Linked DNA regions of Canis lupus familiaris. The protein of the gene in region 3 interacts with the protein of the main gene of each other region in a pairwise test. Links are inferred from orthologs where the notes say so. Each region holds a gene or a part of one and is shown on either strand. Other genes may lie near its edges.

Region 1 (4,155 bases), on a different chromosome or scaffold from region 3:
CATGTACACATATACACTAACCTCACTTTTATTCTCTTCAAAATAATCTATTTCGGCTCTGTAATTGTTAAGAATATAGTAACTCAAAATCATAAATGCAATTTCATGGTAAATGTAGAATTAGGACACAAACATCATGAAAAAGTGCCATTTTGTGTGAAAAGTTTAAAGCTTTAAAAAAAATGTCATCTGATAGTCAATATGGGGTAGAAATATGGATCAGTAATTTACTTTTTCTTCTTTTCAAATAATTTGTTAAAACATGTATATGGTGAAATTAAGTATTAAACCAAACACCTATGGTATGGTAAAGAAACAGAACATGATCAGTACCTTGGTAGCCCTCTGTGCCTATTTCAAGTTTACAAACCCACTACAACTACCATCTTGATTTTTGCTTTTTGGAGTCCGGTCATATACGTATCCTTTTACCACAACTTGCTTTTTCAATGTTTGCTGGTCATCCATTTTGATGCAAGTTTTTTTTTTTTTTCTTCCACGGTTGTGTTACATTCTACTGTAATGAATACCCACCCTTTATCTAGACAGAAGAGTGGTTCCCAATATTTTCATGAACAGTGCTGGTATGAACATTTTTTGTACATGAATGCTGGGGAACACGTACAATGATTTCTCTAGGCTTGTGTCTAGGGTACAAAGCTTAAGAAAGGAATTATTGGGTCATTTTCTACTAGGTAATGTCAAAAATTCTTTGTCTCAAGTGGTTGCACTGAAATTCACTTCTAAATTGAGCTATACTGTGAAACTCTAAGCAAACATTCCACTTCTAGCCCTCCAAATTTAACACTAAGATCAAATATTTTCTTTTCTAACAAGGTATAAACAAAATAATCCTTTTTATTCGGCAATTCAAGTGAATTGAGGTGCTTATGACTAGAGGTCTGGGACTTCTGTATTTGAACCGCAAAAGACAAAAATGTTTGGAGAAAATATCAACAGAACACCTATCACAAAGACACAATTTTACATAGATCTCAATTCCCGAAAACAATGCAAAGTAAAGGCAATTATTATGCCCATCTTCAGTTGAGAAAATAGGCTCACAAAAAGGTCCAGGATCTTGCCCAAGGTCACATATGTATATATATTAATAACTGGCGTTCCATTATTATTTATCCAGAGATAAGACCTTTATTACAAAAAGTTAACAGCACGAACATTCGCATCTCTTAGGCAACTTTTCCCTTTAACTTATGTTAAGATCTGAATCTCAGTATCTGGGAAGAACTTTAATCTTGTTAACTTTCAGCCGTGGCATTATCGCATCGAAACTTTCTAACCAGGCCGAGCAACTAATACTCCAGTCCAACTGGAGAAGAACAGAACACAGGGTGGGAGGGAACCCTACAGTAACCAAAAAAAAAACAAACAAAAAAACCCACAAAAAACCCTCCCTCCCCTCCTCAAATAAGATCATTTAGATGGCAAACAATTCCACTGCTTTACTGTCCAAAGTGCTTCCTTCGAATTATCTGAAATACCACTAAAGGGGATTTTAAGATACATTTAAAACTAGAAATCAGCCATTTGGCGTCTAGTTTCCAACTCGATTTCCAGTTCCTTTAGCAGTTATCTCTGGCGACAGATAAGATAAGGGAAGCCATTTGGCGTCAAGATTTTCCCAGGCCGAACTCGGAGACCTCCTCCTCTTCTCAGCAAGAACATCCGTGTTTTACAGATGAGCGCTGAGGCCTGGAGAGATCAAATGACTTGCCCAAATCGGCCGGGCCCGGCAGCCGGGCGGCGAGGCGAGGCCAGGCTGGGTCTGCGGCGCTCGGGCCGCCGCTCCGGCTCCCCGCCACGACTGCGGTCCGAAAGGAGGGGCTGGGGCGTCGCCAGGCCGCCCCCCCACGCCGGGTCTCCCGTGATCCCGGGGCGCAGGCCCACCCGCAGGCCCGCACACCAAACCGCTATTATGTCCCAGGTCGCCTCGCCTCCCGGAGTCGGGGGCGTCGCTCCCAGGCCTGCAGTCCGCTCCAGGTCTCCCGCTCGGCGGCAGGCTGCGGTCTCCTCAGGAAACAACCTTCCCCCTCCCCCCGGCCCACGCACACGCGAGGCCTTCCCTCTCCCCCTCCCCCCTTACCCTCCACGGTCACGATCCCGGTCCCGGTCCCCAAAGCCGCCTCCGCGCATGGTCCCAAACGGATAGAGATCTGGGAGCGGGGCACGGATGGCCGGGCTCGGGAGGGCCTGCGGCTCCGGTCTGGTGACGACCGATGGCGGCGGCGCCTCCGCTGTTGGGGCGGCGGCAGGCGCGGCGCTCTCTCGCTCCGACGCGCTGTCTCCCGTCGCAGACGCCACCGTCGCCGCCTCTCTCGTCGGAGACGGGAGCAAAACACAGAGAATCGGGGTTATAAAAACTGTGGGTAGGTTTGGCTACGCTCAAACCCGGCAGTGCCGCGGTTTAGGCGTCTCCTTCCTTCCCAGCGACTGCACAAAATGGCGGCCGGCGCTGAGACTGCTCCAGCTTAACGCTACGTACGTCGGAGACGATACGTAAACAGCGTCTTGGAATAGCCCGAGGGCTTGGCGGAGTACTAAGGGCATTCTTGGAAGCCATTTACGTCAGTTGCGCAGACCGGCACATGTTGCAGTCCGTAGAAGAAAAATAAAGTACGAAGCGGGCGTAGAGTGCTCGCGCCACCTGAACTAGAACGTGGGGTGGGGTGAGGGGAAGAGCCTCCGGTGCGACGTAACATTCTTTGCGTCGTTACCCGGCCCACTATTGCGAAGATGCGCAGTGTGCGTAACGCATTCTGTTTGGAGAATAGAAGATTTTGCCGGGTTCCGAACGCGGGACGGAACACGGGCCTCCTTGTGCAAGTTGGTTTGCAGACACAATAACCGTCCTCCATATTGCAGTCGTGAAGTGTCAGGGTTTCCCGGCGCCTTGGGTCCAGGCGGGTCTTCAGGGTTCCTGGATGGCGTCCCTGGGTCGCTCCGCCGGCCTGGGCCTGCCGTCACCGGCCGCGCGCCCCGGCGCCATTTTCTTTCGGTTGCCTCTCGCTGCGCTGTTGCCGGCAGCCATGATGGATGCTCCTTGTCGGTTCTCTCGGGAGGTGGTCGGCGGACGAGGTCCCAGTCAGGTTAAAGCACTCCCTGCTACGCTTGGTTCACACCGAAGTGCGTTTTCTGAGCAGAATATTCACGGTCGGGGGCTGAGCGCAGTTGGCTAACAAAGAACCAACACGCAGGTGGAGCCCCTGTTGAGGAAGACTCCCGGGTCCCATGGTCTCCGTTCGTCGGCGCTGCCTCGGGAGGTCCTGGCAGGCCCTCAGCGCCCTCCCCGGGCGAGGACGGTTAAAAGCCGTGGCCTTTCGACACAGAGAAGGTGAAGGCCTGAGCACGTGTTTTTAACCAGGCCGGAGCATGTTCCTCTCAGTTCCTTCCACGCTGGTTTCCAACTTCCTGCCTCCTCACTCAGACTGAGCTTGACGGTCTCACAAACCTGGCCAGACAGCGTCACAGAATTGTTGAGCTGCTAAGGCCCTCGCGAGCTGCTCATCTGATGTCTCTTTTGTTTATTTCTACAGATGGGGGAGGGGGGCGGGGGCGCGGGATTCGAGGTCCTTCATTGTGGGGGCTGTTGTCTCTTGGTTGTAAATGTTTCCCAAATTATGACAAAAGGAGCTCAAGGAAAGGAGCTTGGTGACAAGCCGTTCAGAGGTCCTTGGGGCCGTAGCGCAGATGGACAATTGGAACCACTGGACCTGTGCTGAACACTGCATCAGCCCAGCACTGTGCTAGGCACTGGGGCAGAGGGCACTGGACACGTGAGTTCCTGCCCTCATGGGCTTTATACCACAATGGGGGGGAATAAAACAATGAATCTTTATGTTATTTAAAGATTGCTAACTAAAAAATAAAGATTGCTGATTAAAATAGAAAAAGCGAGGAAAGGGGATAGTGTTTCTGTGTCTGTGGGGGAGGGGAGTGTATGGATGTCACGGTGTTACATGGGGTGACCTGGGGGAAGGCCTCTCTAATTCAGTGACATCTGAGCAGCGACCTAAAGGGAGGGAGTTAGCTTTGCTGGCAGAGGAAGGAACACATGCAAAGGCCGTGGCGGGCTGTAATGAGGAAAGACGGGAGAGATTTGAAGGATTTGTAGGCTGCTGTAAGGACTTTGTTTTT
Region 2 (3,644 bases), on a different chromosome or scaffold from region 3:
AAAGTGGGTTCAGCCCCACTCTATCCTCCCTATACCTCTACCTCATGAATAAATCTATTCCTATGGTCTCCAATGACCAGAGACAGACACCAGTGACCTCAGGTTAAAATGCTAATGTTAATACCCAAATCTTGAAAAAGAAGAACAGGAAAATAACAGAATAAAAAGGAATCTCGAGACCTTCAACCCTGGAAGTAGTACACAAAGGAAAAATAACACAGGGCTTAATTAAAATTGCTCCTGGATAACTAATTACACAAAACCTTTGGCTTTCATGATTGTTGTTTTAGCTATTCCACCACCATTTTTGGATTTGATCATTTTCCAAACACATGCACCTTTATAATCCTTTCTAGTTACATAAAGTGAACTAAGAGTAAACCATTACAAATCTTTTCAAGTCAGATCTTTAACGTGCTACTCTAAAAAACAAAAACAGATGTATAAACCACACCAGTAAAGAGGGAAGACAACCTCAGCTACATGTGGAGCAAGAAAAACAAGCCACTGGCAAGTTTGTATCAGTGTACTTTGCAAGAAGTTAATTTGATTGTTTTTAAATATTAATATTGACTTGTCCCAATCTTGATTCTAACAATGTAGCATGATAATTAAGATCTTCTTAATACAGACCCTAACACCCAGATCTCAGGTTCTGGAGTAAAAATGCCAGAGTTCAAGTCCCAGTTTAGCAAGCCCTAGATGTGTGATCCTGTCCAAGTTAACTGTGTGCCTACTTCCTGTGTAAAATAAGTATGAGTGGCTACCTTGTAAATTACTAGAGATTAAGTGACAGAATGCTACATATACAAGTATCCCAACAATACTAGCTTATCCTTACTTATGTTAAATGTTTTCCAGTGCTTTTTTTTTTTAATTCAGTTTGCCAACATATAGAACACCCAATGCTCAACACATCATATGCTCTCCTTAATCCCCATCACCTAGTTACCCCAACTCCTAACCCCAGTGCTTATTTACATTATAGTTCTAATGTAAGGTACCCCTCGGGGTGAAAAACAATATAAATATTTGAGTGCAGCTACTTACTAGCTGACGACCATGAGTAAATGACTTCAACTCTCTGAGCCTATTTCTGCTTTTAAAAAAGGGTAGAGGAGGATGCCTGTGTGGCTCAGTGGTTGAGCATCTGCCTTCAGCTCAGGGCGTGATCCTGGAGTCCCAGGATTGAGTCCCACATCAGGATCCCTGCAGGGAGCCTGCTTTTCCCTCTGCCTATGTCTCTCTGCCTCTCTCTCTCTCTCCCTAATACATAAAATCTTAAAAAAAAAATTGCCTTATAAAGAAAAAAAGGGGAAGGAGGGAATATCTCCTAGGTTCTTATGAAGAGCAAACTGGGCAAAAGGAGGTAATTATTAAGGGCTTGCTTCTTCTCACATCTGTGCTAGGCAACTGAATATTTCAATATACTTTAAAAGCAGCTAGCATCACTTGGCCTTGTCACACAGCAGGCACCAGCCTAATGGCAGTTATCAATCACACATTTTACTTCTATTTAAAACCAGCAGTCTATGTTACATTTAAGAGGCAGAACTGAATTAGAAATCAAGATCTTACACCGAAGTATAATTTTTAACACCTGCCTGAGGGTCCACAGAGGAGTCATGTCCTTATAGACACGAGTAGATCCAGTGCTTATTCATGGTGCCTTCCTTCCCTAGGCCCAGCACCCCCACCCCTGCCCTGGCGAGGCACCTTGGTGTACTGCTCCACCAGCTTTGTGAAGTAGTTGAAGAGGCTGTGCTGCGGGCGGAGGAAGTCAAACTGGTAGTTGCGTTGCTCTTTCTGCATCAGTTGGGTCAGAAACTGGCGGCCATTCCTGGCCACAAACTGAGCTGTCAGCTTTACCACATCCAGGTCGAAGGCTGAGATGGACGGGGGGTCTGCGATGAACTCAAACTCAGGAGGGGGCTCTTTGGGCACGATGGTCTCTTGGATCACCTGGGCTTGGACCTAAGATGCAGAGAGAATGTGAGGCTTGAGAGGTGATGGGAAGACACCCCAGACAGGATGGCAGAGACCTCTACACTCCTGTTAATCATGTAAACACCTCTGGCCCATGGTGTGAGAATCCTAACTCATAAGAGTGCCAGTTTCTTGGCAAACTGTGGACTCAAATTCCCAAATGGCTTCGAACAAGAACCTGCCCTTCTGTATTTTTGCTGTTGCCCTGAAATCAAGGGCCAAAACTGAGGGGCAGAAGATCTGACGGGAAAATGCCTTATTAAACCCCACCAGAGGAGGACGGAGGACACAGTAAGCCCTACATGTGTGCGGAGGACCCCCTGGACAGAGAACTTCCATGTTTGTTACCTCATCTGGCCTCCACATGAACCATGTGGTGGATAGAACAGGTACTATGAATCCCTTTTATAGATGAGGAAACTGAGGTAGTCTGAGGCCTTAGCAGTAGTAAATGGTAATGCATGGTCATAGAATCTATTCCAACCTTTATTTCCCACTGTAAAACAGGAGGTAGCTTTTTCCACCATGGTCCAGGAATAGAGCAAAGAGAAGGGACCAGACTAGGTCTATAAAGGAGGCAAAATGTGCCAGCTCTTCTTGTTCTCATTGACAACCCTAACTGTCCTAAGTGATGGACCTAAAGAGGATTAGGGTATTACAGCAGGCCACAAGGAAGGGCCCTGGGAAGATAGGATGGATGAGAGGGATGGCTCAAGGAGGGGCCCACAAGCCACATCACAGCACTGTCCTTACTCCATGGTCAAGGCAAAAAGTACAGGCTAAGAACTTGAACTCTGTGGACTATTGACTCTATGGCCCAGGTAAATCCTACTTCCCCAAGTGTCAGGTTCCTCATCTGTAAAATGGTCACTTTGCTGTTCTCCTCAAGCAGCTGCTGTGCGGTGCCAACAAGACTCCTAAAGTACTGAGCATAGAGCCAGATAAGCAATGCTCAGGAAACGTCAAAGGCGGCAATACTATGCTGCCTGAGCCTCAGTGTCTGCCTCTGTGGATAAAAACCTCATGTTTCTCCTGGCTAGCAGTGAGGTTTGGATAACAGAGTTCATTATCCTTCCCTCCCTGGCCTGGCTTCCCTTTCAGCCCCGGGGATATGAAGGAAGGGGATGGCTCTAACCTTCTGGGGCAGCTGCTGCTGGGTGGCCTGCTGTTGCTGCTGCATGACCTTGGGGATGGCGGCTGAGGGCTCCTGAGCCTTCCCCTCCTTGAACTCGCTGACCTTGTGGCGGTAGTAGGCATGGTAAGGGTCGTTGGGGTTCAAGAAGTTAAACTTGGGGTTGTTGATCTCATTCTGTCGTATCCTAGCTTCAAATTCAGGTCCGTTTCTACAAGGAGGAAAAGAGAAAAATTAACACTACAATCCTTACAACTACCCAGAACACTGCCCATTCAAGCCCCCTCCATGCCACTACTCATCACTCAAACTAGCCCATCCCTGAATGAAGCAGAGGTCCTCCATAAAGCTCCTGGCATCAGTGGTCAAAGTCATCTGCCTCCTCCAAGCCCGAGCCAGGCCTCCTTTACCATAAGGTCTCTCAGACTTGTCGCTCCTATAGTTCTTCTGCTAGTCTTGCCATCCAAAACTATTTAAACTTACTGTTTTCTTTTAGTAAACTTATTTTAAAATGTACTTTGAAAGA
Region 3 (4,378 bases):
TTTTTTCCTAATTAGTTTTTAAGACTTCTTTGCATATTAGCCCTTTATCATGTGTGGCAAGTATATCTTCCTAATGTTTTATTATCTGTTGGCTTTTATCCTACAGTTCTAATTTCTTTAGTGATCAAGTATATATTTACTAGTCTGAGTTTCTTGTTTTCCTTAAGTCTCCACCTCTAGATAACCCTGTTGGTCTCCTATATTGTTATTTTAGGTCTGTTTTATTGTTTAAGATCCTATACCATTTGTTAGCTGAATCTTTACTGAATCTACACATGGGGAATCTATTTCTGGTCTATTCTGTCGCGCTCATCTGTCTTTCCTTCAACAAATCACATTGTTTCATTACAGTGTCTTGCACACTATTCCGAAAAGCGAGTTCCTCCTCAACCTCGTTTACAGGTTTCCCCACTATTCTCATAATTATATGACTTTAAGATGATGTAATCAACCCCCAACCTAGTTGATTCTATGGAAATACAATGTATTTGCAAATTAATTTTGTTTTTTTTTTTGTTTTGGTTTTTTTTTTGTTGTGCAAATTAATTTTGAAATCGAATTATTATTGTTTTCTGCCTAAGATGATGTGTTCTTCCATAGGCTCAGTATCGCTTTGATCCTTCAAATAGACTATTTTATAGTTGTTTTTTTTGTTTTGTTTTTTGTTTTTTTTTAAGAAAACAGGAAGTCCCTTTTTACCTGCGGCGCGTCAACGGTTCCGGTTTACGGTCGCGCGCCAGCCCCTCCCCCGTCCCTCGGTTCCGGGTTACTATGGGAATCGAGACTTAACGTCACTAAGGGCTTCCGCGCCGGACCAAGGAGTCGACCATGAAGCGAAGGTCGGAGAGGCAGCCTTGCCCCATCTACGCATGCGCTCTCCTCTCCACTCCTCCCCGGCCGTAAATCTCGTTCTGCCGGGTACCGCCGCGACCTCTCGCTTAATCCCAGAGAAACTGCTCCCCGGGGGAGGAGTAGAAAAAGAACCGGACAAGCGACAGCCAATCCCATGACACTACGACGCAACCGAGCATTGACCCAATCAACTTCAACCAATGAGAAAGACCCTGCCCCCTACGTCACAGAGCTTGCCCCGCCCCATTCCCCTCCTTTCTGGACTCCGAGCTCAGTTCGCGCAGTAACAAATGAAGTGCGCGCTGCGACACCTCCCAGCTCGCCAGGCTCGGCCGCCATTTCTTCCCCCCGGCCTAACGGTCCGGCCAATCCCAGCGTGCATCGAGAGGGGCTAAGGCTCCGCCAATCGGAGGCCGCCGATTCCGACCCCTTGCCTGGGCTCGGCCCAATCCAGGACTCGGACCCGTCGCCCCCGGACCGCCCCCGCGGCGCCCTCTCTCCTCCCTCTTTGTGCGTCTCGCGCCGCCGCCGCCGCCGCCCGCCGCGTGAGAGGACGGGCTCCGCGCGCTCCGCGGCAGCGCAGTCGGGTCCCCTCCCCCCGGAAGGTTCGCGAAGAAGCCGCCGCCGCCACCACCGCCTAAAAGGAGCCGCCGGTGCCGGTCCCCGGGGGCGCCATGGCGACCGGAGCGAACGCCACGCCGCTGGGTAAGCTGGGCCCCCCCGGCCTCCCCCCCGTTTCCGGGCCCAAAGGGGGCTTCGAGCCGGGGCCACCGCCTGCTCCCGGGCCTGGGGCGGGGCTGCTGGTGCCCGGGCAGCCGCCGCCCCCGCCCGTGGGCTCGGTGGGAGCCCTGACCGCGGCCTTCCCCTTCGCGGCGCTGCCGCCGCCGCCACCGCCGCCGCCCCCGCCTCCCCAGCAGCCGCCGCCGCCGCCGCCCTCCCCGGGCTCCTCGTACCCGCCGCCGCAGCCTCCCCCTCCGCCGCCGCTCTACCAGCGCGTGTCGCCGCCGCAGCCGCCGCCACCCCATCAGGACCAGCAGCCGGGCCCGGCCGGCGGCGGAGGAGGTGAGTCGGGCCGAGAGAGCGCGAGAGGCGTCGCGCGGACGGGCCCGGCCGCCTGAGGGGCGCGCGGCGGCGGCGACGGCGGCTGCACGCGGCAGGGGCGCGCGCGCGCACGGGGAGGCCCCGGGCGGAGGCGCCAAGGGGCGCGCGGCCCGGTTCTCGGGCCCCGAGTGCGCACGCGCACTGGAAGGGGTGGGGGGGTGGAGCGCGGAGGGTGTTGTGCGCAGGCGCAGTATGGCTGCCGGGCTTTGTGGCCCGATAATAAATGGAAATGGGGTGGGGGGGCTCTGTGTTGCTCTCTACAGCTTGGTACAGGAGAGGGGTGTCGAGCGGGTTGAATTGGTGGACGGGTTGAGGGATGTGCGTGTCGGGAGGGCGTGAAAGGGTCAATTGATGACGTGGAGCACCTTTCTGATTCTAGAGAAGTCCAAAAGGTAGGAAAGCGAGAGTAATTTATCTCTCTGTGCGAAGTTTTTACTGCAGTGAAAGGAAGAGCTCGAAAAATCCTCAGTGGTGTGGTTGGAGCCGGTGCACTTTTGGAGGAAGGAATATTTTCCTAATCTCCATTCGTTTATCTTAGAGAAGTCTGATATGTCTCCCCTTAGTTGTTGGGGCTTTCCAAGTAGAACTGATTTGTGTGTACCAGATGTGTAGAAAGTTTACGCTTCTGTTTTGGAGGAGGAGTATTTGGCTGCTGTTGGATAGCTTGTATTTTGTTGAACTTTTGATACCTCATTTAGGAGTTCTGATGTTAAGTGTCTAAATTAGCCAGGAAAACTGAATGCTTATCTTGACTAAACTTCTGAAGAAAAAAGTGAGCTTTTTGAAGAATTGGGCTTTTTCACTTAGTAAATTGTAAGTTTGGTTGTGTTCTGGTCCCTTTAGAAAGGTGGCTGGTGGGGTTTGGAGGTGGGAAGAACCAACAGTTTTCTCAGCATACTTTACCACATCTGATTATTCGGTATATTTTGTCTCCCCTGGGGTTTTTAAAACATTTGTGGTTGATGTTGCATATCTGAAACTGTAGGGATTAAGATTTGTTAGCTTGTTTACATACTTCACGTTTTTTTGACATATGTTATAAATATGAAATATGTTTTTGGACCCAGAGCCAGGTATCTTTGTGGCGGCTGTGTGTCTCTGATTTCTTGGGTATGTCTTCCATTTTTTGCCATTTACGTTTTAGGTCAAGTTCTCAGTTTCCCAGTCTGCCGAGGTTGTGTGTAGTATTATAAGTATCGTGAACTGCCTGTTGGTAGTTAGTTTGTTGGTTTATATTTGTATTTGATGGGTTTTCTCTGCCTTTAGACTTCCCAAGTAAGAAGCGGAAGAGGAGCCGCTGGAACCAAGATACAATGGAACAGAAGACAGTGATTCCAGGAATGCCTACAGTCATCCCCCCTGGACTTACTCGGGAACAAGAAAGAGCTTATATAGGTAAATACACGTTCTGCACCCAAATATGTTTTCGGATTGTTATGACTTATTCTGAGCAGCGTTTTATGTGTCCTAAATTTGAGACTTTAAAGTCTTGTTCTTTTGAGATGAGGTATGGTCAGGTGTACTTTTATGACTTCGACATAATCCATCAGTTTTTGCTCTGTAAGTCCTGCATTTGAAGCTCCTGGTTTCGGTCTGTTCGTAACAGCAGTGTTCTCCATGAGTGCCAGGAAGGTAGAGGGACCCATTTAGGAGTGAGGGTAGTCCCCAGTCCAGTACCCCACCCTACACTTTTCAGCTGCTGTTCATTGCCCGTTGGTGAGGTGAGTGTCTTCTGCCTCTCTGGACACGGCCCCAAGTGGAGAACACTGCAGGTATTATAAACTAAGTACCTTTTTCACAGCATGGCCTTTCACCATTTCATATTCTTCCCTCCCCTTCAAATGTGGTCTTTTACTTTTTATAGGTACTTTCTGAAAAACTCAGTTTAATCAAAGAGTGGTCCTGAAAGTGTTGGCAGTATACATCCCTTTTTACGATTTTGTTGAATTTAACCTTTCCTTCAGCATCTTTTCTGGTTTGGTCTTTGGAGAGCTGCCTTAAAACGAAGGCTCTTTTACTATTTATTATCAAAGAATTCTGCTGGGAAAGGGGTACTACTTGGATATGGCATGAGGTGATAGGGTAAAAAAGATCTTAACTGTTGGGAAATTTCAAGACAATAATTATAGTAATTGTCCACAATGTAAATGAAGTTAACCTCAAAATTACCTTTTTTTAAATACAAGGTTTTTAATGCGAGTTTCACCTTTATTCATGTATCTCCAGCTGTCTCCAAAAAGTTCACTTGATAAGCATTTCCTACTAACCAAATAAACATCCCCTTTGGAGTAAATTAGGGCAAAGGCCGCCTAGGCCTGGGAGGCTGTAGCCTTTACAGATAAAAAGCTTCAAGGCTGGCATGTGTTATTCTTGAGGATCATAATCTCTTACATTTTTTAATTGCTGAGAGTTTTGAGGTGTTGGA

The links.
Region 1: the proteins of SF1 (region 3) and DDX17 interact in binary tests that used the Homo sapiens proteins (3 or more experiments, as listed by UniProt). The link is inferred for Canis lupus familiaris from reciprocal best matches to the Homo sapiens genes SF1 and DDX17.
Region 2: the proteins of SF1 (region 3) and SF3A1 interact in binary tests that used the Homo sapiens proteins (3 or more experiments, as listed by UniProt). The link is inferred for Canis lupus familiaris from reciprocal best matches to the Homo sapiens genes SF1 and SF3A1.

The regions. Positions count from the first base shown.
Region 1 is NC_049231.1:27,281,436-27,285,590, reverse strand, and holds the start of DDX17 (probable ATP-dependent RNA helicase DDX17), read right to left. Parts: upstream 2,877-4,155; coding exon 2,736-2,876; intron 2,398-2,735; coding exon 2,105-2,397; intron 1-2,104. UniProt on the Homo sapiens protein: As an RNA helicase, unwinds RNA and alters RNA structures through ATP binding and hydrolysis.
Region 2 is NC_049247.1:23,902,994-23,906,637, forward strand, and holds part of SF3A1 (splicing factor 3A subunit 1), read right to left. Parts: intron 3,330-3,644; coding exon 3,122-3,329; intron 1,975-3,121; coding exon 1,717-1,974; intron 1-1,716. UniProt on the Homo sapiens protein: Component of the 17S U2 SnRNP complex of the spliceosome, a large ribonucleoprotein complex that removes introns from transcribed pre-mRNAs.
Region 3 is NC_049239.1:52,884,886-52,889,263, forward strand, and holds the start of SF1 (splicing factor 1), read left to right. Parts: upstream 1-1,526; coding exon 1,527-1,914; intron 1,915-3,219; coding exon 3,220-3,348; intron 3,349-4,378. UniProt on the Homo sapiens protein: Necessary for the ATP-dependent first step of spliceosome assembly. Binds to the intron branch point sequence (BPS) 5'-UACUAAC-3' of the pre-mRNA. May act as transcription repressor.